3 linked regions of the Cricetulus griseus genome follow. The protein of the gene in region 2 interacts with the protein of the main gene of each other region in a pairwise test. Links are inferred from orthologs where the notes say so. Each region holds a gene or a part of one and is shown on either strand. Other genes may lie near its edges.

What was found.
Region 1: the proteins of Trim54 (region 2) and Arhgef5 interact in binary tests that used the Homo sapiens proteins (3 or more experiments, as listed by UniProt). The two-hybrid records come from large-scale screens. The link is inferred for Cricetulus griseus from reciprocal best matches to the Homo sapiens genes TRIM54 and ARHGEF5.
Region 3: the proteins of Trim54 (region 2) and Inpp5j interact in binary tests that used the Homo sapiens proteins (3 or more experiments, as listed by UniProt). The two-hybrid records come from large-scale screens. The link is inferred for Cricetulus griseus from reciprocal best matches to the Homo sapiens genes TRIM54 and INPP5J.

Annotation. Positions count from the first base shown.
Region 1 is NW_023276806.1:226,137,974-226,147,814, forward strand, and holds part of Arhgef5 (rho guanine nucleotide exchange factor 5), read right to left. Parts: coding exon 9,415-9,841; intron 8,935-9,414; coding exon 8,877-8,934; intron 8,359-8,876; coding exon 8,294-8,358; intron 8,089-8,293; coding exon 7,835-8,088; intron 5,127-7,834; coding exon 4,966-5,126; intron 4,430-4,965; coding exon 4,277-4,429; intron 4,020-4,276; coding exon 3,890-4,019; intron 3,635-3,889; coding exon 3,560-3,634; intron 3,158-3,559; coding exon 3,068-3,157; intron 2,099-3,067; coding exon 1,941-2,098; intron 1,361-1,940; coding exon 1,199-1,360; intron 1-1,198. UniProt on the Homo sapiens protein: Guanine nucleotide exchange factor which activates Rho GTPases. Strongly activates RHOA. Also strongly activates RHOB, weakly activates RHOC and RHOG and shows no effect on RHOD, RHOV, RHOQ or RAC1.
Region 2 is NC_048600.1:13,246,860-13,256,700, forward strand, and holds part of Trim54 (tripartite motif-containing protein 54), read right to left. Parts: intron 8,076-9,841; exon of another isoform or gene 8,030-8,075; coding exon of another isoform or gene 7,712-8,029; exon of another isoform or gene 7,701-7,711; intron 6,573-7,700; coding exon 6,400-6,572; intron 5,400-6,399; coding exon 5,228-5,399; intron 2,727-5,227; coding exon 2,631-2,726; intron 1,043-2,630; coding exon 809-1,042; intron 574-808; coding exon 551-573; intron 436-550; coding exon 311-435; intron 203-310; coding exon 110-202; intron 1-109. Other genes in the region: 60S ribosomal protein L36a-like, read left to right, coding at 7,712-8,029. UniProt on the Homo sapiens protein: May bind and stabilize microtubules during myotubes formation.
Region 3 is NW_023276807.1:101,393,938-101,403,778, reverse strand, and holds the start of Inpp5j (phosphatidylinositol 4,5-bisphosphate 5-phosphatase A), read right to left. Parts: upstream 9,368-9,841; coding exon 9,263-9,367; intron 7,678-9,262; coding exon 6,551-7,677; intron 6,281-6,550; coding exon 6,167-6,280; intron 6,044-6,166; coding exon 5,935-6,043; intron 5,754-5,934; coding exon 5,637-5,753; intron 5,357-5,636; coding exon 5,181-5,356; intron 4,801-5,180; coding exon 4,689-4,800; intron 4,536-4,688; coding exon 4,426-4,535; intron 4,306-4,425; coding exon 4,122-4,305; intron 37-4,121; coding exon 1-36. UniProt on the Homo sapiens protein: Inositol 5-phosphatase, which converts inositol 1,4,5-trisphosphate to inositol 1,4-bisphosphate.

The sequences.
Region 1 (9,841 bases), on a different chromosome or scaffold from region 2:
GCCAATGGGATCCTGCCCGGTTGGAAACCCAGTGTGATGCTGTGTTATGTGTTAGTGTAGCCTGTTTTTCCTCCCTTTCTCTCCTCAGGCATAGCTTTCACAGAATCACAAGGTGTGAACTGTCCATCACATGCATGAACATAAAGGTGTGAACTGTCCATCACATGCATTAACATTTTCCAGTCTGGAAATCTGTTTAGACTTGACCACTCTGCATGATCCTTGGTCCTCACTCACCTCCCTTCAATTAAATATCTAGGATGGAAATCACTATTTCATAATAAGTAAGCCAAGGAGCTATATCCATTTCATTGCTGTTTTTGTTGTAATATGTGATATTAGCCTAATTTGTGATCATCTGAAGGTTTTTATATTATCTTATCCTCTGTACCTAAGTTACTGAGAATGACACTTTTCCATAAAGATGCTGCCCAAAGCTCTAAAAAAGAACACAAAAGCTACATCTGATTATTTGTCTCAGGTGAAATCCTGAGTACAAACCCAAGTACTATCTTCTGTGAGAATGAAGACAGGGACCATTGATCTCAGTAGAAATGTCTTGCAAGGGACCATGCTCCCCATCATGCGGAGTCTTAAACCATGAAAGTGTTTAACAGTTTTACAGACAAGTTTTTCCTGTGTCTCATATAGCACCAGGAAAGTTACTGGGTGTTCTTTAATTTCTTATATTGTGTGCCACATTCTACAGTTATCATTTTAACTCTCAAAACAAGATATAGATGCGATTGTATTCATTTGCTATTATCACTGGAAAGGTTACAACTCATATGTCTTAATACTACAGATTTCTGCTCAACGGAGGATAAAGCTAGGTGACTGAGGAAAAGCAGAAAGCATACATGGTGTTTTTTATTCACACAAGTGCCTGACAGCCTGGGCTCTGAGCTGCACAGATGAGCTGTATCTCACAGACACAGCAACCGAATTCCCTGCTCATTCCACGCCAGCTCATCTCCCTCCTGATGTCTCACAGGCCTTGCAATTGTTGAGCACAGACTGGAAAGCAGATGTTAGGACAGTCCATCCTACACTGAATCTCCTTCGAGTTGCTGCTTAGCTGTAGGGCCCTGGGTTTCTCTATCAATGATCCCCATTCCAGAAGTGCCAAGGCCATGGTCCGGCTGTGTTTCTGTCCAGGGACACCCACCCCCAGCTCCTGTGCCCAGCCCCATCTCACTGAGTCTCAGTGCGGAAGAGGAATTCAGCTTGGGTGCCCTGTGTGTTGTGCAGCAGGAACAGACGGAAGAGGTTCTTGTGAGGCCCGTGCAGCTTCATTTCACACTTCTCCCCTCGAATGGAGGAGAATGGAGCATGGTCAAACACCAGGAACCGGCTGCCCCTGCAAGATATGTCTTTTAAGTCTGATTCTATAGCTTTTGTACTTCATCCACCCTCACACTCATAGTCTTGGATTCAAACTTCCTGATCTTAGCTGTTACAGACTCTTCATATAAAACCCATACGAGGGCTCAACTTGCTCTCAATGCAATAATCTCAGTGTCTCAGCCAACCCTTTACCGCCATAGTGCTATTCACTACTTTAAAGAGTTGAAGTGATAAGAACCAATGTTAACTTTCTAAGATCCTAATGACCAGAGTTTAAGCTCTGAAACTAGACAAGTGGCTGTATTGGCTAATATGTTGGGCATGACCCAGGGAAGCCACAGATAAACTTATTTAAGAAGATGGTGTTTCTTTGCGGTGGTTTACTCATGTCTATAACATGGGACAGGTCCGGTTCTATGATTTCATGATGTAATTTGGTAACATTAACTCCCCACTTCTGTTCTCTAAGCTATGACTCATGACTCACACTGTGAACTGTCTGAGAAGGGATCTGTTAGAAGCCCGTCATCTGGTGTCCCTCCAGCCCTATCCCATTCTATCGTATCCCCTGGCCTCCCATCCCAGCCACTGACTCTCGGGGTCGGGACAGCAACAGACAGTCATTGAAGAGATGCAGGTGGACTGGACGAGTGGTCAGTTTCCTCCTCAGCCCTGGGGAGGCACTGAACTCAAGGGCCACCAGCTCCCCACTCTTCACCAGCCATCGAGATTGGGAAATGAGCGGGAAAATCTAAGATCAGGAAGAGAGAAAAGGCAGGTCATGAGCTTCCTCTCAGTCCTGCCCAACCTGTGGATCACCAATTCCAGATCTTCCCTCTTCCTCGGAACCAACCCATCCAGATCCTGTGTCTCTCGGAACCCTCTAACTACACGGCACTAGTGTGTGGCTCCTGTGTTCCCATGCTCAAAGGAAGGTGACTCTGATCTAAAAAGTGATGGTCTGGGAGCAGAAGTCTGTGAGCCCAAGTAGAACACATTAATAAGCAGGAGGGCACAACATGACATCTTAAAAGTCAAAGGATAGGGATAGGGATGTTTCCCTAATGATGGTCAGAGCCAAGACGGACAGGCAGAATCAGGCATGAAGCTGAGGATAAGATCAAGGTGGGATCTGCTGGGACCTGGGACCTGGGCAAAAAGCTTCAGCAGAACTTAGAGAAGGACTTCCCTTCTCTTCTGGGGAAGTAAAGGTGGTATCTGCAACACACTAGGAGTTCAATGTTGAAGATCAATTTTCTATTTGTTTGGACAAGAGATTTTGAGGTTTTTGGCATGTTGTTTCTGGTTAGGTTAAAGGTGATCTGATAAAATAAGTGAGTCAACCATTCTTCATCTCTAAATTCTTATATAGCCTTATTCTGGGAAATTCCTTCTGCCATTTAGTGAGTGCTCCTCCGGGAACAATTGCCCCTCCCCCCTTTCTGATTATCCTGACAGTTTCCTTATGCACATACATCAACAGATTTACATCCTCTACTCTTACACCAAAGGCAATAAAATCCACACACAGTGCTACGCCTTCCACCTAATAACGTGTGTTGTAAAGTAAAAGGATCATTTGCATATTCCAGAAATGGAGACAAGGGCAGACAGAACCAGGAGGCTAGAGGTGATGGAAGCAAGATGACTCTGTCAGAAGATGGCCTCCAGGACAAGCTAAAGAGATCATAGGCAGGGAGGTGTTTGAAGGACAGCTCACTTTGCACTCAAACTCAATCTTCTGGCTCAGGTAGATGAGCTCCTCTGTCCGCCGCATCCTCTGCACATTGTTGTTACAGTCTCGGATCAGCTGACAAAGGAGCAGGGGAAAGGAAGGGTAAGATCACTGGGTTAGTGTCTCGAGTTTTCAGTCCCCCTAAAGCTGTCTGGGAAGATGCCTGCAGACCTCTGTCTTTTCTACCAGGTTGGGGTTGAATGAAATAGCATCCAAGTCATGTTTTAGGTTGCTGGAATACTTTACAAGATTTCAGAGAATACATTGGGATGAGGGACTGTGGTGTTGGGAACATAGTGGCTGGACATGGAATGTGAAAAAAATAAGTTTAGTGCATACAACAAGATGGCTGAGCTCTCCTGCTAATCAGGACCCATGTCTCAGACCTTTTTCAGTCATGGTACCCGGAGAAGGGGCGGGGGGAAAACTTACCCCTGAATGAGTACAAATAGGCTATTGGATGTGATGGCTGCCTACCTTCTCCAGGGCATGGTGTGCCTTTGTGGCCTCTGCCTCTTCTGAGGAGCCAGGCTGCGTTCTCTTCAGAATGTTCTGTAGAACAAATAGTGGGCAAGAGCCGGATGGGAGGAAGGATGGACAAACAGGAAGAGATAAGTCAGGGATATTTGATGCAGAAGTCAGACACCCAGTTCCAAAAGCAAAGGTTTCTGAGAAAGAAAGGTGAGGGCAGTTGGGAAACCTCTGACATCCTCCACACGAGGTGGAAACTTCATAGAAGAACGGATGATCTTTTGCCTACAAGCAATCCAAGATCATGTCTTTGAGTCAAGGAAACTGGTGCCCTACCTGGAGCAGCAACTTAAGACGGGTGATACGCTGGAAGGGCAGTATCAGGAAGGACTTGAGAGACAGGCGCTGGCAGATGGGGTCGCTCTCCAGCTTCTCCAAGACCTCTCGGAAACTGCTGTTACTGTTCCTATGTGAGAAGCAAGACTCAGGTGAGGAGGGAGGTGGGGGTAAAGGGGCTCAGTGAAGGCATGGGGAATGGGATTTAGTGGAGGATCTGGGTTGGGAAGAACATTAAGAGCCCATGTGTAGGGTCCAGATATGACTGCAGAGAGGACCTGATAAGGAGAGTGGCCGAGACGCCAGCTGACACAGTGGACAAAAGAACAAGTCCAGTGCAAGGTCACAGCAATGTCCACGAAGGGTAGGGATAGGGGTCATTCTCACATTAGGCTTTGGAAGGTGCGCTCCTGATAGGTCTGGTTGGTGACATAAGGCAGGTAGACTCGGCGGAATTCTGGGGCATGATTCAAAACAACATCACAGACTTGGAAGGAGAAGACGTTGTTCTCGAAGTTTTCTTCTAGGTCGGAAAGGAACCTGCACAGTATTTAAACAGTCTCATGAGGAACGGGGGCCTCAGCTAAGCACACTTCAGCCCTGCACATTGTGAGAGCAGCTCCAGTTTCCATGAATCACCAGCTTCTCCTGACTTTCCTCAGCTCCGCCCTTGCTAGGCAGCACATCCTTCCCAAGGCTGGCACTAGCTTATTCCTGATCAACTTAAATAGAATTCTAATAGCCTATTCCTTTTCCTTCTCTTCTGGTTTGCCAATCTTTCAGTGATCTTTTTTTTTTTTTTCTTTTTTTTTTAATACCTTGTGTCCACTGCAGGGCACGCCCAGAATGTATGCCAAAACCTCAATCCAGGAAGCATTTCTCCTCACTCATCTGTTAATAGAACCGTGAACCCTCACACTATCTCCTCTTCTTAGTTTTTCCTACCCCTCTTCCTTGGAGACTCTTCCTTTCCAGACTCTGACAAAGACAAGGTTTCTAAGAGGGAGAAAAGAAGCTGAAGATTCAATGGCTACAAAAAGTGAGGCTGAGAGAATGGAGATTGGAAGAAGTCTCACGTGGTGCTGACATCGCGCACGTCCTGTAGACGAGAGAAGAGCCACTGGTGATCCTGGGTGGACAGGGTGGCCCGGAGTTGGGCTGAATGTTGGAAATGATCCACAGCTATGTTTAGACTGCGAAGGTAAGATGCCTCTGACACAATCAGCTCAAATTTGGCCTAGAGGATTGGACAAGAGGAAGATTAATGAATACTTTTATGAACTTTCTGGTAGATACCAGTTGTTGAACAATGTTTTAGGGTGGAGCATTGAATAAGGTACATCTTTTCATCACTCACAGTCACAAAATTTAGCTTAGTCTATCAGGGATATGTAGAGTATTTGAGGACGTAAGATTCAACCTAGGAACTGAACAATATGTGTGATTCTCTATACTTTCAAGAAACTTATTTATTTGTAGCCCATTCCCTAGGGAGGGAATACTATTGCAGCCCAGATACAGCAAGAAGGGCCTAGGTCTTCCCCCAAATGATATGACAGACTTTGACGGTCCCCCGTGGAGGGCCTCACTATCCCTGGGGAGGGGGGGGGAATAGGGGAGGCCATGGGAGCATGGGAGAGCAATGGAATGGGGGGATGGATATGTAAATATGAGTGCCTCTAAAATAAATATATATAAATATTTATTTGTACACATACACAAATAACTATAATTTCACAGATATGTTAATTTACCACATCACAGTAACAATTTTACCAACAAAATATACTGTGCTATACCTCATGACAAGGTAGTTAATACTTTACATAAGCACAGTGAAATTTATTTTTAGAAAAGAAACAAGTAAGTTGAGCATTTCTGGAATTTTTATTAAACAAACAAACGAACAAAACAAGAAAAAGAAAAAAGAAAGAAAGCCAGGGAAACCAGTAGGAGTGAGAATGAGGCATGAGGCATGGTGGTTACATAAACAACAGAGCACAACATGAGCTTACAGAGGTGTGGAAGGAAAAATGTTCCAAGTATAGGAATTAGCTGGGGAGGTTTTTTGTTTTTTGTTATTATTGTTGTTTTTTTAATGGGAGTGTCTTTTAGGAAACTGTGGAAAAGGACTAGAAGAAGTAGGAGCAATGTAGGGAAATGGCAACATGTCTAGATGCGAGCTGAAGGCCTGCTGGTCTAAGTATGGGAAGAAGTAGACTGAGCTAAGCGCCAGGCAGGCAGACCTGGAAGACTGCCTATTTGCTAGAAGTGGGGCATATAGGAGGAGCCAAAGCCAACACCTTGCTTTCCGGTTGGGTAGTGGGTGGGATGATGGAATTGCTGATGAAGCCATAGTGCTCTGAAGTAGGAAATGACTTAGGGAGGAAGGTGACAAGCTCAATTTGAGGTCTGAGGAGAAATGGAATTGGAAAAACAAGGATATGCGAAAAATGTTTTCATTTAAACCGGAAACCAAGCACTTAAGAATGTGTATGGAGGCTCCAGCAGGGGACAAAATGACTCAGACACAACCAAAGGAAGATTCCTGTCACGTCTCAGCAAGGAGCTTCAGTATATATACATCCCTTGCTGATCACTGAGATAGCCAACCACACAGGAATTTCCTATACAACCCCAGACTGTGACACCAACATTTACTCTCCATATAATGTTCTAAGACCATATGGCTTAAGTGGGCTCAGTTGAACTTCTGAAGCTTGGGGTTTGTGTTGTTTTGTCCTTTTATATAGATATGGCGACCAACCCCTACACATACACACTCCAGAAAACACAATTGTTAAAAGGAATGGAGTCCGTGAAGGAACATTGCAGACTCCCAAGACGTTACCTCATGGCATGAACATGTGTGTATAAGATAATGAGATAGGTCTCTCATCTCACAAAGTCAGGAGGGATGGGCTGGAATCCGGACCCTTGCAACTTCCTAGCTTACTGGAGACTTACGGAGGGGTAGCTAGAGTTCATTTGGTCTTCCCATTATTTGATGGGAAGAAATATATACAGGACAGGTTAGTGATTTTCTCAACACGTGTTTTATACAGCTTGTCTGAGGTTATCCGGCTAGTACATGAAGCCGGGTCTGCATCATCAAAATCCAAATAGTCATATTTTCTGACTGATTATTCTGTAGTAACCATTTATCTTTTTTTTTTTTTTTTTTTCTCCTGGTAACTCCTTGCGTCTGTTTTAACAAAGGGAAACAATGGCTTAGAGAAAGCACATGATTTGGCCAAAGTCAAGCAACACATATTAACGAAGGCTTCATGTCTAGATCATTGGTTGTGGAGCCTATCCCACTGTGTCCTCCTTTTTTCCTGGGAAGAAAGGTTCCTCCTCCTGTTTCAGACAGATCTGAAAGCAGAAACTGCTTATGGAAAACTTACTAATGGTGGCAGCTTAGAACCAGATAAGCATTGTCCCCTGAAGTCTTGATACTGGGAGTGATGACCAAGCAGGGTCATATTAAAGCCTTAGAGGGTCATATTAAAGCCTTAGAGAAATCAAAGAACCAAGGGACAACTTCCGGTTGTCCTCTTCAAAGCAGCCAGCACAAAGACTGAGTGTGTGGCTTGTCTGAAATCCTTGTACAAGTGGAACGGAGATAATAGCTCATCACGAAGCAGCAGTGATGACCTTGCTGTCACATCCCTCCCAACAGATTCAGGGGTATGGTCACTCTGTATGAGCCCAAGCCAGTACAGATAGGAGCAGATGGCATATGCACGGATGTGGGAAGCGGCGAACGTGCCCGGATTGTGAGAGCAGTTCACATTCCTCAGCATGGCGGTGAGCAGTCTCTGAATACAGGTGAGTGTGGGCTGGGGACAGTCTGCTCTTGGTGGCAGAGGTGAGGAGGAGATAAAACATTAGCATATATGATTTTGTTCTCCCTCCTGTCCCCTACCCTGCCCTGGGTGGTACCTCTTGCAGTTTTTGATCTTCATGGGTCATGGAGAGCAGCACAGTGCTGTTGCGAACCACAGGGATTTCCTGCCAGAGAGAGCCACTGGAGGCCATGGACAGACGCTGCAGATAGGAGTCTGAGGGCACCACTGCCTTTCGCCGATGCCGGGGGGAAGAGAGTCCAGGTGCCTCGGCCAGGCTGTCTAGTCGCTGCTGGCTCTGGATCTCTTTATTCAGAACAACATCACTGTACTCCTGATAAAGTAGCTGGGCTACGGGTGAGGATTCATGGGAGGAGAAAATCCTGAGAAAATGAAGTGAGTGGAGGCCCACAGCAGAAACTGCCATCTACAGCTGACCTCTGGCAACCCTTTCATCTGGACACCACCACTTTATTGCTGGCCGTCAAGAGTACCTGTCCCTCCCACTTTAGGGGGAAGCACACCCGAGCCTAGAGATCTGTTCCAAGGTACTCACAGGAGTTGATGAGCTTGGAGCAACGCCTTGAAAAGCCTCCCATCCCTTCCTTTGGTTTCTTCTCCCTGTGGAGTAGGCAGGTTTTGGGGTGCTTGATGACCAAGAGACAGAAGACCCCCAAGTGACTTTAGATGAAGAAATCTCTAACCTTCCAGACTCTCGATAGGATGTCAGGACCCAAGGAACAGTGGCTTCAACCTGTCCCCATCATGTATCTTTCCATTCAACCTTTCTCCCTTATCTCAAAGTCTAGAGAAGATCCCGAGGACTTTGGGGGAACTTATAAATTCAGTGAGACATGTCCAACAATAACCCCAGATGTTATATGGAAGGAGACTGGTTTCTAGCCATATGCCTGAGGAAGACAGCTGACCCATACATAGTAGGCAGAACTGGGCAGGTCCAGACATCTCCCTTCCCAACAGTCCTGGTGCCTTTCTTTTCCTCTCCTTACTTTCTGAAGATAGAGGCACCAGAAATTCTGGGTCCCAGTATTATTATGCACTGAAGTCCTACTAAGGAAATTTTTGTGTCATAGATAAAGACTGTACAGTTGAATTTGTGAGGAGCCAGGACAACTCACCGGAAAACAACAGAATCCGAAGAGCTAGGAGGTCTTCCCATGCCTGGACTTCTTAAATCTGCAAAGGGAAATGGGTGACATACAGGGAGAAGTGAAAGGATGAGCAGGAATCACAGATGAGCAGAAGGAAGACAGTTCTACTAGAATCTGGAAGAGAAGACAACACTAAAGCCAGACGCATTCTAGGAATCCAGTAACCCTGTGTCTTCAGCTAAACCACCAACCTTCACACGAGATGGGAAATGCACAAAGAAAGGGTGTCTAAAGTTCTTCAAGGCAGAGAGCAAGAAGGCACAGCCAATGGAGGGAGTTGGGCAGCTTCAGGAAGAGGTAGACTTTGGGGGAAGCCAGAGATGGAAGGGCAGAGAGGGAGGACGAACAATCTGATGGCATCATGGGGCCGTGAGTTCCTGAGTTGACGGTAAATGTGCAGGCTAGTGAAGCTGCGGAGAGAACAGTGGAGACCCTGGAGATGGCAGAACTAGAAGAAAGGCGTCGCCTAACGAAGATCTTTGTGCAGTCTCGGCTCCCCCCTTACCTGAAGAGCTCTCGGGCAAGAGAGAAGGTCTCCGCAGGCCTTGCCGGTTCCAGCCCTTGTGCTTGGTAGATGCCTGGCCAACAGCCTGTTCACTGACACTCTCTGTTCTCACTGGGTCCTGCCTATGGGGCCAGCTGGACGTCTTCTCCAGTTGGTGGTGATTGAGTTTTTCTGACTTTCTTGGTGCTAAAGCTGACCTCCATGTGTCACTACAACCCTCCTGAGGGGCTGATCTCCTGAAAGATCCTCTCACTGGGGGCTCAGATTCCTCAGTGAGCCCTGACTCATCTTTACCGGCAGGTCTCTGAAGTTCCGGGATCCAGGGAGTGGTAGGGGAAGAGGGACTTAGAAGGTTTGTCATGTTGCTGAAAGCCAGGCCAGGGGACACTTCACTGTTACACCTACTGGTGGGAGCCAAAGATTCTGT
Region 2 (9,841 bases):
GAGACACTTACCCGAATGGGGGACTACCAGCGAGTCCTGGTGCCCTGGGAAGGCAACCGCCCACCGCTGGCCAATCACTCCTCACCCAAAACCCTCGTCCACCTCTCACCTTCTGGCCCGTCCAGCCGCTCCTCCTCCAGCCCTGCATTGCTCTCGTCCCCTTCCAAAGCCACCTCGTCATCCTCCTCATCCCCCGCGGCGCCTAGGTGGAAGGCAGGCCAGGTGATGTGGAGCCCCTGCTCCTCTGGCTGTAGCGTCCACTTCATACCCTTGGGGCGGGTCCAAACAGTCCCTCCCTCGGCTCCCTCACCCGGCTGGAAGTCGATGGTCCGCAGCATTTCGGCCACGTGCTCCACGTTCACAGAAAATTGCTCCATGCTCTCATAGCCTGGCTCCGGCCGTCCTGCCAGCTCCACCTTCGACATTGCCCCGACCCTGTGACGGCCACAGGGCTCAGCAGGGGAACGCCTCAGCTCCCGCAAGCCCCTCCCCAGATCGGAAGAAAAGAATCCACAGGGTCCCTTCCTTTCCCACCGCACAGGTTGCTCACTTGTTGATCAGCTCCTTGGCCTGCTGCAGGGGAGAAAAGGGGGGCCAAGGTGAGCGCTGGGCCAGCCCCGGCAAAGTCCGATTTCTGATTCTCACCAGTCCTGCGGGGTAGGTGGGGGCGTTTATCCCAATTCGTTAAGGAGAGAACCCAAGTAGAAGGGTGACTTTGCCCAGGTCGTGGTGACAAGAAAGTACCGCAGGTTAAGACTTGACCGGGTTCCCCCGTCCCTGGTTTCTGCCACCCTCCCTCTCCGCTCACCTGGAGGTAGAGAGCCATCTGCGGCTCCTCCATGGATTGAATGGCGGACTCCACCAGCTTAGAGGAAACCTCCAAGTGGTCTCCGTACTGACGGATGAGGCCCCGCACGCGCTGCAGCTTCTCCTCTTGTTCCCGGGCCAGCGCTTGCAGCAGCTCGCCCTTGCGCTCCTCCAGTACGGCGCACAAGGTCTCGAACCTCTGGTTTAACAGTTGCTTCTGCCTGCGGCTGTTGTCCTGGAAGATCAGAGAAAGTCCGAAGGAGGTCGTGGCCCGAGCACCCCCAGAGCTGCCAGAGCAGGGTATTTTATCCCTCTCACCCCTTAAATAGAACTCAGGAGAGCAAAGGAGGAAAGTGTGATTAGGGTCACACTTTGAGTTAGAGGCACAGAACCCAGCTCATATCTTTTCAATTAACAAGGAAGACAACATATTTCAAAGCTGCTCTGGGAGCCATGTATGTCACTGGCCCTGGCTTTGCTTTGCTTTAATTTCCACTTGCTTCTTAAATAAAATAAAACGACTTAGCTACCATGTCACTGTCAGCATCATTTTTAAACATTATTTGAGTTTTATATAATTAATTTTCTGCTCTGATATGAAATTAAGCCTTATTTCAAAATGTAGACATTGGTTAGACAGCTGGAGAGATGACTCCCCTGTTAGTGTGTCCTGCTCTTGCAGAGGTCCTGAATTCTGTTCCTATATCCATGCCAGAGGGTTCACAACTTCTTGTAACCCAAGGAATCCAACAAGCTCCTCTGGCCTCCATGGGGGCTAGCACTCATGTGCACAACCCATACACAGACACACACAAATACACATAATTGAAAATAAAACAGTAAATCTAAATTTCTGAAATTTATTAACTGGAAATACGTATCAATATTCAAATATATTTAGTTAACTATATTATAAGGGTATATAATTAGTTCTTATCACATAATTTTTAATTAAATGTATTCATTAATTATTTCATGCATATATAATGTCTGATTACTCTCACCTCCCAGCCTCTTTTATCTTTTAATTTTTTATTTTGCTTGTTTATTTATTCCCACGATTTCATTGTGTGGGTGCCTGAGGAGGGCGGAGGAATTGAACTCCCCTGGCGATGGAGTTACAGGCAGTTTTGAGCCATGCAGTGTGAGTGCTGGGAACTGAACTCTGGTCCTCTGCAATAGTAATACCTTCTCTTAACTCCTGGACCATCTCTTCATCCTTACTCATTTATTTTTGAGATGGGTCAACTGGACTTTAAATGGGAAATCCTCCTGTTTTAGCTTCCAAGTGCTGGCATTGTCTTGAATTAACATGCCCTGCTTGCTTTTTTGTTGTTGTGGTTTTTTTGTTTGTCTGTCTTTCGAGACAGGGTTTCTCTGTGTAGCTTTGGAGCCTATCCTGGCCTCGAGCTCACAGAGATCCACCTGCCTCTGCCTCCCAAGTTCTGGGATTAAAGGCATGTGCACCAATACCCGGCCTGCTTGCTTATTTATTTAATTGGTTTATTTAGAGATAGTATCTCCATAACTTGCCTAGGCTGGCCTGGAACTTGCTATTATTCTACCTCCACCCCACTGGTCATCTCTATCTTATATATAGTCAAAAAACAAACAAAGCCAAAGCATAGAAGATTTAAGCAACTTGACCAACATTGCAGAGTGCTAGGATCAACCTGGCTAAAAACAATTCACCATGAGCTAGTGTCCAGAAACTTTCTGGCCAGTTTGACCAGAGGTCAAAGAGAAACAGTTCTCTTTGAATATGAGGATCCCAGACAGACTGTTGACTATTCTGTCCCTTTGTCCTCCCGGCCCAGGCTCACCTCAATGGTCTGGCACACCTCCTCCATCTGCGTGATCACTGCTTGCACACGGTCATTGCCTGCAACCAGCATCGCGATGCCATCACTCAGCTCGCTCTGTCACACACATGGGCTAGTTGTTAGAGCTGGAAGCCCCAGCCTGCAGCAGCTTCCCTCAATCCCACGGACTGTCTCCACCTCACCTATTCAGGGGCATCTACAAAGGTCTAGAAGGCTTGGAATAGTTCAAGAAACATGGGAACACATCCTGTGGATTCTAGGTGCCCCCACTCCCAAATGTGAAGGGAAGTGACAGTCTCTAATCACCACTGTGCACCAGTCTCTAGCCACCACTGTGCACCAGTCTCTAGCCACCACTGTGCACCAGTCTCTAGTCACCCACTGTGCACCAGTCTCTAGTCACCCACTGTGCACCAGTCTCTAGTCAACACTGTGCACCAGTCTCTAGTCAACACTGTGCACCAGTCTCTAGTCACCCACTGTGCACCAGTCTCTAGTCACCACTGTACACCAGTCTCTAGCCACCACTGTGCACCAGTCTCTAGTCACCACTGTGCACCAGTCTCTAATCACCACTGTGCACCAGTCTCTAGTCACCACTGTGCACCAGTCTCTAGTCACCACTGTGCACCAGTCTCTAGTCACCACTGTGCACCAGTCTCTAATCACCCACTGTGCACCAGTCTCTAATCACCCACTGTGCACCAGTCTCTAGTTACCCACTGTGCACCAGTCTCCGGCCTTGTGCTTTAACAGTAGTTATGTCCTCCACTAATTCTGAAAAATTCCTAGGGCTGCCCATTCCAACAACCCTGCCTCCCTTCTGTCCTTTTCATTCTGTGAGTCAATAGGACTTATGTTAGACCTTCTTTCTCATCCTCAACCTCCCACTCCCCAGTGCATTCTGGGTTTGTTTGTTTATATGTTTGAATGTTTGTTTGTTGTTTGCACTCTTCTGTGTTGAGTAATTCTTTCTTGTGAGAAATCCATCACTTGATCCATCCACTGGTTTTTCAACAGTTATTAATTCCTAAAAGCTCTACTTGGTTCCTTGTCAAATCTATTTTTCTGTCTGTTTTTTGTTTGTTTGTTTGTTTTGGAGTTTTTGTTTTGTTTTGTTTTTGATTGGACCTTTCTCTATTTTCTAATCTGGCACTTTGGACTTATGATCCTCTTGCTCCAGCCGGGATTACAGTGTACACCACCTCAACAGACTGTTGCATGGTCATTTTACATATGTTTTTAGTTCTGGAAATCTACCCTGGATCTTGTGCAAGGCAAATGTACTACATCTCCAATCCTACTTGTTGTTTTATTTCATCTTCATTTTTCTTTAACAACGGGTCTCCCTATATAGTCCAGGCTGGCTTGGAACTCCAAGTTGCCCTTGTGCATATTTTGCAGGGGTAACTAGTCTATTTTGAATTTGTTTTAAGGTCTAAAAACAGCTAATGGGGTAAAAAGCTGTCTTTGTAACTGAGAATAATGTAATTTCTTTATGTCAGTCTGAGCTATGAAAAATATTTTAGTATTATTTTTACTCATAAAAATTTTACAGCTAAACAGAAATCATCTTCCTGACCATCCCCAGCTGTATGTGTGCCAGTAGATGGAATGTATGTATGTATGTATGTATGTATGTATGTATGAGGTAAACACACAGGCAGTGGGGAAATACCTGTAGCTGTTTTTAGGGAAGGAATGTGGTGGCACATGAGAAAAATTACAGATAGCAGCAACCAGTTTTCATAGTCTGGGGACCTGTGAAGTCTTACTTGATGAGGTTTTCTCCAACAGAGAGTTATTCCTCTGATGGCTCAACACCTCAACTGTCAATTGCCATCTGCTGTATATTCTTGTGGCCTCTGGTAAAGCCATTGCTACCAGCAGCTCTCAGAGCCCAAGGCGTGCGTGCGCCACCACTGCCTGGCTACAGAGTGCATTCTCCGTGTATCTTCAGTTGTGAATGACTGTTGCATTGATATTAATCTAAGGTCATGCTAAGGGTCTACAATGAAGGGCTTTTCCTCCAGCTTAGAATTTGCATTTGTTTCTGTCACAAGTCTGGTGATACAATTGACTGCTTTAATATTCTGGGATTCCAACATGAGCTGAGGTTTTGGGAATCTTAGAACGCACCCTTACCAACATACCTTTTACAGGGTTTGTAATATAGCCACCTCCCTCTAGCCAGCACTGCTCATCTGAGAAACAAAACCTATTCTGCTTGCAGTGGCTCTCTGACCCTGTCCTCCCCACCCTTCCTAGGACCCCCCTTTCTTCTCATGTCCCAACCAATCTGATCTTAAAAATGACAGCATATGTAGAAGCTAACTGCATGACTAAAGACCCTTGAGGGTGTCCAGTGCTCGGTATGGAAGCCACTGCTGCCATGCATTATCTAATGATATGGTGACAGCAACCATCATCTTCACCTGGTCTGACGAAGGATGTCAGGGGCAGAGACATCCTCAAGGTTGTGTGTCAAGTCAAGAATAGTCCTGGTGCTCTGGCCCTGATCTGCTACACCTTACCTAAGCAGAATGGGAACTGTCCCAGCCTAAACCCCCTTCCCCAATCCCTCCCTGGCTAGATACCTTTTGGCGTTTGTAAATGGTGGGCAGAGGGGCCACCTCACAGTCCTTGTGGGCACCGAAGACCTTGCAGAGAGAGCAGGTGGGCACCTCACAGCTCAGGCAATAGATGTTAATCTTCTCATCTTCGTGCTCCTCACACATGAGGTGCTGTTCAGCCTTGGAGTGCAGTGGCCTGAGGACCATGGACAAGGGAGCAGCAATTTCCAGGGAGTCAGGCTGTGACCAGTGGTGAGAAACTCACACTGGGTTCTTACTTTGGGGAGGCAAAGATGCTCCAAGGAAGACTGGGCCCAAGAAGAGTCCATTGCAGGGGGGCAAAGATGTCCCACAGGACAGGGAATCATGGGAGCAGGTGAGGTTAAGCACATTGGGGTTGACTTTGGTCATAGACCAGGGGGAGTAAGATTTAACACTGGCTCCAGAGGCAAAGTGAGGCTTCCTGGATAGGAGACCAATTCCCTCCTCTCTGGGTCCGATTCTTTCCCTATTGTGGATATATGTGTCCCCACCCAAGAGCTGGATAGTTTTATGTCAACTTGATGCAAGCTAAAGTTATTTTCGAGGAGGGAGCCCCAATTAAGAAAATGTTTCCAGCCGGGCGTTGGTGGCACACGCCTTTAATCCCAGCACTTGGGAGGCAGAGGCAGGAGGATCTCTGTGAGTTTGAAACCAGCCTGGTCTACAAGAGCTAGTTCCAGGACAGCCTCCAAAAGCCACAGAGAAATCCTGCCTCGAAAAACAAAAACAAAAACAAAAACAAAAATGTTTCCATAAAATGGGGCTGTAGGCAAGTTTGTAGGGCATTTTCTTAGTGATTGATGGGGGAGGGGCCAGCCCATTGTGGGTGGGGCCACCCCTGGGCTTATGATCATGGGTTCTATAAGAAAGCAGGTTGAGCAATCCATGAGGAACAAGCCAGTAAATAGCACCCTCCATGCCTTCTGCGTCTGCCCCTGCCTCCAGGTTCCTGCCCTGTTTGAGTTTCTGATCCTCACTTCCTTCAGTGATGGACTGTGATGTGGAAGCCTAAGCCTAATAAACCCTTTCCTCCCCACGTTGTTTTTGGTCATGGTGTTTCATCACAGCAATGGTGACCCTGACTAAGACAACCCCTCTATCCCTGATGGTGCAGGCTCTTCCCTCCAGAGAGGTCAGCAGCCCAGGCAGCTTACCGGGAGGATTCCTGCTTGTAGATGTCAATAATATTCTCCACTAGCAGGTTCCGCTGAAGGCCGTAGACCCCATGCCGGTCCAGGACAACCTCATGCCTGCAAGATGGGCAGCGGAAACGACCTCCTGAAGATACAGTTGTGGAGCCCCGGGATTGCCACAGAGGGTTAGATGCCTGCAAGGACAGGTGAGGCAAAAACAGAAGTGTAGTGAGGCGTGAGGGAAGACAAGTGATGAGCACAGGAGTGGTAAGGAGGGGACATTCGCTCTCCTCTGCATCCGGTGTCCCCAAACAGCAGTCTGACAAATGCCTTTGTCTTCACCTCAGTCTCTGCCTCATCCCTGAGCCCAGCTCCTTGAGTGTTCCTGCATGCAGAGCCTCATTTTGGGCAAGGCCTGATCAGTATTGGCCCTAATGGGGTCCAGAATAGAGCTTTGGCAGGAACGCTGACACAGGCAAGGGACTGGCAGTATAGACGGTGTCCTCCAGCTTTAACTCTTTTGTTTTTGTTTTTTTTTTTTTTTTTTTTTTGAGACAGGGTTTCTCTGTGGCTTTGGAGGCTGTCCTGGAACTAGCTCTTGTAGACCAGGCTGGTCTTGAACTCACAGGGATCCTCCTGCCTCTGCCTCCCGAGTGCTGGGATTAAAGGTGTGCACCACCACTGCCCAGCCCCAGCTTGAACTCTTATGGGCCACATGTAAGGCATTTTGTGTGTGTGTGGCGGGGGGTTGTTGTGTGTGCATACATACATGTGCGCATGTGTGTTTGGCAAGATCATGTAAGCTTGTCTCAACTCCGTGTGTAACGGAGGATAACCTCGGCTTTCCAAATGCTGGGATTGTAAGTGTGCCTCCCCTATTTCCATCTCCCCATCTCTATCTATGTTTTTCTCTCTGTCTCTCTCTCTTCCCATCCCCCTCTCTCTACGTGGTCTTGTGTAGTCCAGACTGGTTCAAACACTCTGCAAGTACAAAACTGGCCTCGGACGTTAACTACTGCCTCTGCCTCCCAAATGTTGGGATGATATGCTGGGCCAGGAGAGAGCTTCTCTCTAGTCCTGGGCAGAGGCACACACACCAAGTGCTGAACAGTGAGACAGAAATTGTAACCAGGGCTGGGTGGCTCGCTCAGTTGGTAGAGTCCCAGCACCACATAAACAGGAATTATGAGTACATTTGGGAAGTAGAGGCCGGAGGATGTGGTCCACTGGAAGTCTGAGCTATCCTCAGCTACATAGGGAGTTTGAGGCCAGCTTGGGATGCATGAGGCCCTGTCTAGAAAAAATGTAAAGAAAAGAAAGGCTGCCCGCCAACATGGTGAACGTTCCTAAGATCCGCCGGACGTTCTGCAAGAAATGTGGCAAGCACCAGCCCCATAAAATGACACAGTACAAGAAGGGCAAGGATTCTTTGTATGCCCAGGGAAAGCGGTGTTATGACAGGAAACAGAGTGGCTATGGTAGGCAGACTAAGCCTATTTTCCGAAAAAAGGCTAAAACTACAAAGATTGTGCTGAGGCTTGAGTGTGTTGAGCCCAACTGCAGATCTAAGAGGATGCTGGCTATTAAGAGATGCAAGCATTTTGAACTGGGAGGCGATAAGAAGAGAAAGGGCCAGGTGATCCAGTTCTAAGCTGCTCTTGGTATGGAGACAATAAAATCACAATAAAAGAAACTCATCTCAAAAAAAAAAAAAAAAAGAAAAAGAAAAGAAAGAAAAGAAAGGCTGGACACACATGGCACATGCCTTTTATCCCAGCACCCAGGAGGCAGAGGCAGTGGATCTGCATGGTGAGGATAGCCATGCTGAGAGACCCTGTCTCAAAAACAAAACAAAAGAAACGACAATTATCTGGATAATTCTGGGAAATCGATTCTGGCACTAGAGTCAAGGCACATAGTCCCTTGTACAGCCCTTGACAGAACTTTCTTCTGAAATCTATCCAGCATTCAACCTCAGTAAAGGTTGTTCTTTTTTTTTTTCCAACCTCAGTAAAGTTTTTTTTTTTCCAACCTTAGTAAAGTTATGGGCTACATTGGATTGCTCATTTTGCATCTGATGTTATGCCAAGGCTATGGGTTAAAGACAGGAGCAAGGCCCCACCTCCACCCCATTACCCCTTCCCTAAGGACAGACAGCCTACACAGTGCAAAGGGCAGTTAGAGGGAAGTTGTAATGCAGGCTTAGCAGAGGCCCCTACACCATGTATCTTAGAGATCTGCTCCAGTCCACCCTAAAGGGGCGTCCTAGCATAGTGCTGACTGAGGTGGTGTCACCAGACCTGGTGCAACCAATCAAGCTCTCTCTCCCTGAATTTGGCTTAAGATCCAGAAGCCAAGTCCACTACTGAAAAAGGCTCATGGAATTGGGCTAACAATTCATCTTTTGTTTTGTTTTGTTTTTCGAGACAGGGTTTATCTGTGTAGCTTTGCAGCTTATCCTGGAGCTCGCTCTGTAGACCAGGCTGGCCTCGAACCCACAGAGATCAGCCTGCCTCTGCCTCCAGAGTGCTGGGATTAAAGGCTGAGAACTCATCTTGCGGCCATCCTGGAAACTATGAAACAGAATTTATTAACACCGAAGGCTGGTCTACAGAGAGGTGAAAAGAATCATTTATTGGGACAGGCAAGATGACTCAATGGATAAAAGCATTGCCACCAAACCTGATGCTCCGAGTTTGACTCTGGGACCCACTTTGTAGAAGGAGAGACCACCTACTCCACAAGTTGTCCTCTGTCCCCCACACCCACTCTGTGACATTCGTTCACCCATATAAGTAAATAAATGTAAAATAAATAAATAAGACATTCTGTCTCAACTCGCTCAGCTAGAGCAGTGGTTCTCAACCTCTGGGTCATTACCCCCTTGGGATTGAACAAGCACTTTCATGGGGCCACCTAAGACCATTGGAAAACACAGATATTTACATTACAATTAATAACAGTAGGTGAATGACTGGCAGGGATGCCCCGGTGTTCCTTTCTTCAGAAACTTTGTCTGAGTTGGCAAGACCTGTGATATGAAGGCCACGCCGCCGAGCCCCCTTCTGGCTGGGTGTGGCCAATGACTGTGTTCTGGAACTACAGATGTAAAGGTGTTGTGCAGTGTTAGAAGTGTCTCTAGTGGGAGGAAAAATGCCCTCTCTTTCCCATGTCCCCTTCTCTCCTATGTGGAGTGTAGACTTGACCTGAAAAACCATGCTGGGCCAGGGTGGAGTAGACACACATTGAGAATGGCAAGGAGGTCAAGAAGCAATTGTCTCAGGAGACAATCCTGGGCAGCCCTTCAAGCTTGCCCTTTGGAGAAAAGCAAGTGTCTACTTTAAGTTATTGCTCACTTGAGATGTGGGAATGGCCTAACCCAGGGCTTTTCAAATATTAAGTATCTATCACTGAGCTACATAGCCCAGCACTTAAAGCCACTTGTTTAGTGTTTTCTTCCATT
Region 3 (9,841 bases), on a different chromosome or scaffold from region 2:
CAGCCGTACCAAAGGCACATCATCCCTAAAGGCAAACTGTCCAAAGCAAGGCAGGAACAGAGGACAATGTCAGAGGATGCCCTTTAACACCTCACATTCCTAGGGCTCTTGGGTAGTGAGCTATGTTTGTAATGACAGTATTACTGGGGGCTGAGGCAGGAGGATTTATAATTTGAAGACAGCCTGGACAGCACAAGTGGTGAACCAGAATGGGCTATATAGTGAAACTGTTGCAAAAACCTGGTAAAAACCAAACCAAACCCAAACAAACAAAAATCCCTGCCTCCATTCTGGGACCCTTTTTATCCTCAGCTTTCTTAGGAAGTGAGTGGAACATAGTCTTGAAGACAGCCAGTCTTAGATTTGGCCTTGACTCAGTCATGGTTGGTTATACAAAGGTTACTTCCTCAGCTTTTCTGAATAGCAGGCCCTTGTCTGTGAATCCAGAGACTTTTGTCCAGTTTTTTTGTTTGTTTTTTGTTTGTTTGTTTGTTTCAAGACAGGGTTTCTCTGTGTAGCTCTGTAGACCAGGCTGGCCTCGAACTCACAGAGATCCGCCTGCTTCTGTCTCCTGATTGCTGGAATTAAAGGTGTATGCCACCACTGCCTGGCTCACTTTTGTTTAGTTTTAATTTTTAAAAAGTTTTGTTTTATGACTATGAGTGTTTTCTACATGTGTGTGTCTGTGCACTATGTGTGTGCCTGGTGCCTGGGCCTGGAGTTACAGATGGTTGTGAGCTGCCATGTGGGTGCTGGGAATTGAACCTGGTTCCTCTGGCAGAGCAATTGGTGAATTCTTTCAATCACTGAGCCATCTCTCCAGTGATGAATGCTTTTGCTTTATACCCGGGGCTGTACTACTGATTCCCTGAAATGCAATTTGTAACATATTCCTCAAACTGCCTAAATGATAGTAAAGTTCTGTGGTGTATGAGATTCTGGGATAAGCCCGGTTTCCTGGAGCCAGCACAAGCCCAGAAGTGGGTGGCTGGAGACCTCAGTTCATTTTCTAGCTCTGTCACTAAATTGGTGTGTGACCACAGACAAGACCCTGGCCATCCCCTAACTCAGTTCCTCCCATCTGAATGTTACCATTAAGGGCCATGGAGACAGATCATCATCATGAGTGTTTTCCCCTAAGACCAGCCAGGACAGCCAGAGAGCCACCTGATAGGTGGAGTTTCTGCAGTGGCAAGCAGCCAGAGTCCTGGCCACCTGTGTCCCTAAGAAAGAGCTCAGGTGGTGCCAACCTCAGGCCTTTGTCTGGTCCCTGTTGATCTGGTTTCAGGTTTCCTTCCCTCAACTTCTGAGCCTAGCTGTTCCAGATGAAACCAGTACATTCTTTCCCTGTCCCAGGCTCCTAACAGAAGGAGAGGTTGAAATGTACTCCAAGGCTTTGCAAGGTCACAATCCCTGCAGAGGCCCAGTGGTCCAGGCCCATAACCTTAGTATGAGGTGGATGCTGGAGGACCAGATTCTAGGATCATACTTGGTTGGAGGCCAGACCAGGCTACAAGAGACTGTTCTAAAAAAGACAAGAAAAATAAAACAATAATAAAACAAATCCCCAAACAACCAAAAAACAAGTCCTGTGAGGTGGCTCAGTGCATAAAGACACTTTATCCTCAGGATGACCCGAGTTTAATCTCTGGAATCCACATTTGGAAAGAGAGAACCAACTCCCAAAAGTTGTCCTCTGACCTCTTCCAGGGAGTGCACACCTGTGCACATAAATAAATGTAATTTTAAAAAAATCAAAGCAAGAGGCTGGAGAGACCTGTGCACATAAATAAATGTAATTAAAAAAAATCAAACAACAGGCTGGAGAGATAGATGTCTCAGTGGTTGAGAGCACTGTCTGCTCTTCCAGAGGACCCAAGTTCAAGCCCCAGCACCCACGTGGTGTCTCACCTTCTAGTTTCAGGTGATCTGACGCCTCCACAGGTACCAGCTACACAGAAATATATACAGCCAAACAGCCACATGCATAAAATAAATACTATCCTCAGTTTCTCCCAACAGTGAACTGGAGAGGAGACTTTGGACGTTTCAGGGCTTAAGGCATTCAAGGGATGATGCGTGGAAAGTATATAACAGGGGGGCCTGAAACTCTCTGTGTAATTCAGAGCAGCTTTGAACTTTATTGTTGTTTGACCAAGGGTCTCACTATGTGAACCAGGCTGGCCTTGAACTCTTGGTCATCTGCTTCACTATTCTGAATCCTGGAATTATAGGTGTAGGCCACCAGTCCCAGCTTATGTTAACTTTTTAAAAAGTTTTTTTTTTCTTTTAATTGTTTTCACAATGCTGGGATCGAACCGGGTACCTTCCCCATTCTAGGGAAATGTCCTACCACTGAGTTGGATCTCAAGCCCCAGGTAATAATGTTTTTTCCCTATCCACCACAGCCAGGACAGGGTAGTGAGGCAAAAGTGCTGAGATCCCTGATTAGGAGCTGGGGTGTGGTGGCACATGCCTATAACCCTAACACTTGGGAATCAGAGGTAGGAGGGTCATGAGCTTAAAGGAGCCTAGTACAAAGCAAGAAGCAATCTAAAAACGACAATAGCAAAATCTCCCACCCTGTCCCTGTCCCAGAGTTTGCAGGAGGCCAGGCTTGGGCTGATCTCCATCCCCAGAAGAGGCATTGGCTTAAGGCCCACGACTGATCATGTGACAAAGTTACTAGGGGAAACGTTCTTTGGCCTCCAGAGCTCCTTCTTTTCAGACCAAGAAACCCAGAAAACACAGCTTAGGTTTCGAGGTTGGAAACATGGGATCTACCCAGTACTGCCTCTGCCGCCAAAACTTTATGTGACTGGAGGCACACGGCCATCTTGGTAGGAGACTGAGGTTACCTCAAAGTAAATCACAGACTACATCGTCTTCCAAACAGCTTTTAAGACTCTAGAACTGCCCTCTTACTTTGACAACTAGGAACCTCAGCTCTAAACACAATAAAGTCATCCCTGAGGATCTGAGTGTGTTTGGTTCCCCGGTACACACTAAAAAAAGTGGAACAGTATATAGTATGTGCATGCAACATGTATATCCCTCTATATACTTAAAATTCTTTCTAGACTATTTATGATCCTTACATTATATATGTATATACATATATATTATGCAAATGCCATGAAGGTAGTTGTTTACACTACATGGTTTAAGGAAAATGACAAGAAAAGTCTATATGTGTTTAATATAAGCATGTTTTAAAAACAATATTTTAAAATTATTTTTACAACTTTGTTGGTATATGTGTGTGGGAGGGTTGTGCATGTGTGTGGGCGCCCACACAAGCTAAAGGCAACAGATCTCCTGGATCTGGAGTTATATGATTGTGAGCTGCCCCATTCCGGTGCTGGAAACTGAACCTGGGTCCTCTGCAAGAACAGTAAATTCCCTTAACTCCTGAGCCATCTCTCCAGCCCCCTTCCTGACACATTTTTCTCCAAATATTTTTATCTGTAGATCTTTTATAAGGAGACTGTGGCACTGAGTTGGGTCCTGAGATGGAATCCAGGGCCTTGGACATGCTAGGCAGCCAGTCTGCCAACTGGTATGTCCACAACCTGGCTTTGTCTTTTTTTCCCTCTCTCTCCTTTCTCATCACTGCCCATTTCATAATGCCTGCCATATGATAAGGTGATGATTATTCACCAAATTAACCATGAATGAATGTCACCTGGGCTTTGAGTAGAAATTTTAACTTTGCTGGTCTTATTATATATGTGAATTTTTTTTTTTTTTGAGACAAGTTCTGATATACCACAGACTGGCCTCAAACTCACTATGTATCTGAGGCTGGTCCTGAACTCTGGATTCTCCTGCTTCCACATTCAAATTTTAATTTGTTGCCCTAAACATTTCTTGGAAGAAGGAAGTCAGTTATAGATAAGTGGAAAGATATGAGCTCTGCAATCAAACTGTCTTGGGTTCAAATACTTCCTTTTCCTCTTACTACTGTGTGGCCCTGGGCAAAGGAGGCCACGTCTCAGCCACGGTCTCCTTGCTTGAAAAACTGGATGCTGTTAAGGACAGGTGGAAATGGTTGCAGATAGATAGAGGACGTTCAGCCTGACCAAGGGACATCATAAGGGGAGGATGCAACCAGGACTCACATGCAGAACAAACTGGGCAGCAACGGGCTTGTGGTCACTGACAGTGTATTCCATGTGGCTGCGGTAGCTGTGTTGGGTCACCTGGAGCCTGTGACTCTCCCGTCCTGAGGGGCTGGGACCTCCACCTGGAGCCTTGACCTTCCACAGAATACGGTCTGTCCAGGCTGGCTTCCGCTTCTTGGCACTGAGTAGGAGAGTTTCAGCGTCTGAGTTGGGGATGGTGTCAAAGCACAGCCCCAGGCTTATCTCCCGTCCTTATTCTCACGGGCTCCTTTCCCTCATCCCGCCCCATCTCACCACTTACCTGGTGTCGTACTTGTTGGTACCCACATCAAACTTGAAGGTGGGAGCAAAGTTAAGGGGCCCTTCCTGGAAACCTTTCAAGATGGGCCAAGTGTTCTTGGCCATATTGAGCTGTGGGGGTCCAGAAAGGCAGAACAACAAACAGCTTGGGCCTTGAAGCATCCAGAGATAGGATGGGACAGATGAGGGTGAGGGCAGAAACCCGAGGTGCTCGTTGAGTTCCGGGTTGAGGGAGGCGAGAGAGAGGGAATCTATGATTCTTACCTGGTCCTTTTCCCAGAGCTGATGGAGCTGGTTACTGTCTATGGCAAACTTGACAAAGTGTAGGTCATAGCTCTCAATTCGGAAGTTCAGGTCCCCAAACCAGAATACAAGGCTGCTCCGGGGTGGGGATAGGGGTCAGTGGGCCCATGGGGTGCAAAGGCTCAATCTAGATCCTTCCTGGCACCTATCCAACCCCATAACACTCATGCCGTTAGAGGTGCCAGTGGGTGGGAGCTACCAGAGCCTTCAGTCAGCCAAGGAATGGAGGAAAATGGGGATGGAGGAGTAAGAGGGTCTAGAGAAATTAGGTCAGGACCCTCAGCAAGACAGTGCCCCTCAGCAAAACTCCATCTTCCAGGACCCACCCTGCCCCACCAAACTCCTATCTGCCTCCATTTTTCTGCAGGAGGTATGAGTGGATCCCTCACACCAGTCAATAGGCCCACCTTTCCCCACCCACCCAGCCCGCACGCACTCTGCAAACCCACTTACTCATGATCCAGGATGCCGTGTGCACCTGGTCCCTGGAACTGCTGGAGGCTAAGGATAGTTTGAAAGTTATCCTTGCGCTGCTCCGCTTTGTCCATGTGTGCCGGCAAGTGGCAGTTTAGGAAGCATAGCATGTGTCCAAAGGCAGCTAGGCGCACACTTACTCCGCCCTTATTACCCTAGGAGTGAGGTTTGACAGGTCATGGATCTGACCTGGGCCAGGAGGAGAGTCCCTGGGTTGGGCTGGGCATAAGAGCAGGTAAGGAGCAGAGGAGGCTTAAGTTTAAGCAGGGATGGGTTCTAAGGAAAGAAACAGCATGCTGGGACAGGGAAGGGCCAGAGAAGGGGTGCAGTCTAAAGGAGTGGGCATAGTGATGGGTGTTTCTTGGGTTGGTGGAATCTCAGGGTGAAGGATACAAGTGTGAGGCAGGGCACACTCAAACCCTTTCCCTCGCTCACCCAGTAGCCACCCAGACCAGTCCTTGTACAATCTGTCTGCACATCCCGCAGGAAGGGCAAGTGGTAGTACTTGGCGAACAATAGCAGGATGACACCCTGCATCCTCACAGTGCTCACCTGCAGGGGAGACCTGTTGGGGGACACTCCACATACAGCTCTCCCCCAGCCTCTGCCTCCTGCCCACCTCCCCATCTCCCTAATTCAAAGGCCCAGCCATAGAGACCCAGCAGTCCCCTCAGAAATGAGAGCAGGAATCCAAAAGTGTCCCTGCTTCCCAAGAGGGTGTCAGTGTTATTACCAGCACGAAGTTGAAGGGCCCCAGCGCATCCATGAAGAGCTCGCTCCACTGGTCGGTGAAGAGGGCATCCTTGAGTCTCTTGTTAATCATGGAATTGACTTCTTGCAACCTGGGAGGTGAGGGGGACAGGAACAACCATCCAACTGGAGGGCTATTTTAGAAATTCCTTCTAAGGGTGAATTTCCAGGGGGCCAAAATGCTAGGGGTGGGACCCACTCACACGACTCCTCACCCTATGGCAATCATATCTGCACCATCACTGTCATGGCCACTGCCCAGGTGAAGAAGAGATGTGACATCATCGGGGGGCATGGCAGTCCCCACATTCCATGTAACCACAGTGATCCTGGAGGAAGGGGCATAGGGGAGTTTACTGCTAGGCACCATTTCCCCACCCGCCCCTTCTTCCTCACGGGACTCTCTCTGGGGAGTTAAACCGAGGCAGGTAAAGATATAAGGGCCCTTAGAAGAGACGCAAAGTGGGCCCAGCAGTGCCCCCTCTCCCCAGGATAAATTCTTAGGAAGTAAACTGAATAAAAATGCATCACCATCCGGAAAGAATGGCCAGTCTCTGCTTTCAAGCCCCAGTAACTTTGCATGAGAGAAAGCCCCTCACCGGAATCCGGGGTCACTCTTGCAGGTAGGCTGAGCTGACCAAGAGGAAGATGGTGAGGTGGTGGTGGAGGCTGGGCTTTCTTGTGCCTGTAGGTTAGGGCTTGGGCACCTGCCAGGCCCCACACCCTGGATGCCAGGTCTTGGGAGTGCTGTGTCAGGGGCTGGGGGCACACAGGGAGAGCGATTGGGAGAACGACTGGGGGAGCGGCTGGGAGACCGAGGTGGCTTGGGCAGAGGCGGTGGCACAGTCTGGTTCGAGGAGGTTCCTGGCCGAAAGGTAGGGGACAGAAGTCCAGGGGAGCGGGTGCCAGGCTCTGGAAGGCCTGGGCTCACATCCAAGGGCAGGGTCTGTGGTGGCGGCGGCAGGACAGAATCCTCCGGGCTGTGGCGTGGAGCCTCTGGTCGGGCACGGAAGGAGGGGGAAAGACGGGGGTCTGAGGAAGCTTGGGCCCTTGGTGGAGAAGTGGCCAGAACAGCTGCCTGAGCTGGAGTCTGGAGACACCCCTCTGCGGGGGGAATGGGCCTGGGTATCACAGCATCCTTCTGTCTAGCTGGAGCGGATGTCACAGATACTGGAGCCAGGGTCTGCTCCCGAGAGGGTGACAGAGCAGGACTGGGCACGGGGGAAGGACTGGAGGGGGATTGCAGAGGCTGCTCCTGAGAAGCCAGGGCTAGGCTCAGGCCCGAGGCTGCCAATGCTGGCTTAGGTTCTACAGAGGTGGGTGACAACTGCTTCTGGTCCCTGGAAGTTGGAGATAGGATGGGCCCCAGGGTAGCTTGAGGTGGCCTTGGCATAGCAGAGGCAGATATTACTAGCTGCCCAAGAGACTTTGGAGCCAGGATTGAGACTGAGGTGGCTGATGGAGGCTTTGGTCCTGCAGAGGCAGATACCACCAGCTGGCCCACAGATGCTGAAGCCAGGTTGGAGCTGCGGTGGACTGGAGGTCTTTTCTGTTCTCCAGGGGTGGAGAGTGAAGCTGGGATGGGCCGGGGAGATGCTAAAGCTGGCCTTGGTCCCTCTGAGGGAGGTGACACAGCTGCTCGTGGTCCCACAGGTGCCAGAGCCAACCTTGGTTCCGTGGGTACTGGACCTGTGTTCTTTGCTGGAAGCTGAAAACTTGAGATCACCTTGTAGAGGACAAATCAATGACGCAGAGTGACTTTTACCAAGGGCTTGAGTCTCCACTTCCATATAGACCCCAGTAGACCCACACAGCTAAGAAGGACGTATCATTCCAAGGAAATTCTTCCTGTTATCTCACTCCAACCCATTCTGCTCTAGGTCAGTTTCTCTCTCAGAAGAGATGGGATTCAAAAGCCATTTTTCCATATTAAACTTTAAAAGCCTTTTCATAGATGGACAGACAGACCCTGAATGGACTGAGAAGAGCATGAACCTGAATCTGAGGGCTCGCCTGGTTTTCTCAGATGGCACCTACTCTACCCTGACCAGCTTCCAGGGCAATTCTTGCTGTAGCCCCTGCAGCACCCGTTACTGAGTGCCGCTGACTCAACACCCCAAGTCTGTCCCGGTGGGTATGGGGATACAGGGTCCACCTTGCTGAATGCCCTTTCCTTTCTCCACAGTGCAAGTAGCCCTTAGGTGCTCCTCACACACCACCTACCACCTCTGACCCTTTGGTCACAGCCTGCCTGTGCTGATCCATTCCCAGCTCACCACACAGGGTCATGAGCTGGCAGCTGAGACTGCCATATACATTCTCATCCCAGCTCTGTGTGATTTTAGGTAAATGTTCCTCAGCCCACAGCCTGTTTCCCATCTGTAAAACAAGGGGACAGTGGCAAGGGTCCCTGACCACACCACTTTGCCTAGGGCAAGTGACCTGTACTTTTAGCCTAGCATTTCCTGGAACTTCCTGAGTGCTGGAGAGTGAGTCCACCCTCTGGTCAGTGAGTGTGATCAGCTGCCACGCCTCTCTGTGCCCAGGCTGTGCTCTCATGCCCTGCCTACCCTCTCCCTACCTGTGAGGACAGGCAAATGGGTGCCCTTTATACCTGACAGGTGGAAGGACAATAGCTCCCCCACCTTGTCCATCCTGTTTACGATGTTCCCAGGCTCCAGAGGCCAGGAGAACTCGTCCTTTGCCAGGGAGGACAGAAGAAGGTCTACATTTGCCTCAGGGTGGCCCCATCCTGCTCTGGAGACGCAGTTCAGTCCCAGACTCTGTCCCCGTCCTTCTCGGTTCAGAGAACCTGAAATTCTTCCTCCACTTCCTTCCCTGAACTCCGCTCTTTGAGGCTGCATTCTGGATACTCTTCTTGGTTCCAAGTGTCCCGCAGTGTGCCCCCTTCCCCCAATCACCATACCGCCTCCAGCACTAACAACTTAGACATCCCAGATGTCACAATTCTAGTCTTCAGACACAAACCCCCTCATTTTGCATTGGTTCAGAGAAGACAAACAACTTGCCCAAGGTCACACAGCAAAGCTGGAGAGCAGCTGGGTCCCCTGACAACCATCCAGAGCACTTCTGGGGGCCTCCGGGTCATGGCTGATTCTATTTCTCTATGGACATCCCACCACTGCCCCTCCAGGGTGACATTTTTTGCCCAGTCCCTGCTTGGTGGGCACAGAAAAGTACTAGTCCCTTAGCCACTTAACCAGGGGCACCAGAGTGCCTGCAGAGTGTGTGTGGTAGGGGAATGTGAGGCCAGGGACCAGGAATGGGAGCTAGGGTTTGGGCGCTCTTACCTTTGAGGGTGTACCAGCTTTCGAAACCCCATGGGGCACAGGCAAGGGTCCCAAGCCAGTCCTGGTACCTGGCCTGGCACCACCACTGCTGCTCTGGCCCTCCATGTCTGCAGCCCCCAGCAGCCTAGCCTGGCTCCCTTGGGTTCTGGCTCCAGCTCCTCAGCTCCCGGGAACCAGTGATGTCATCAGCCATTTCAACCTGCTGAGAATTTAAAGGCACAGACACCCACTTCCCATATTGAAGGTGGCCAGGGCTAAGTGGCTAGCCCCTAGGAAAACTTTGAGCTGACTGCTGATGCTGGCACATCCGTGGGTAATATAAGCACCTATCAGCCTGGTCCTACTCCCTCCTGGACACTGGAGGAGACCCCCTGTTTGCCCCACCCTGCAGACGATTGGCCAGACCCACCCTTCCTCCAGGGAGGGCCATAGGCACACCTTCAGGTAATACAGGGACAGGTGGTTCAGAGGTCAGCAGCCTCTTCTAGTCCCCAGGGACACCAGAGTCCCTGCCCTGTCGTTTTTTCCTGGCTTCCTGATTAGCTCAGGACTTGGCTTGGCCCCCACCCTTGCCCCATT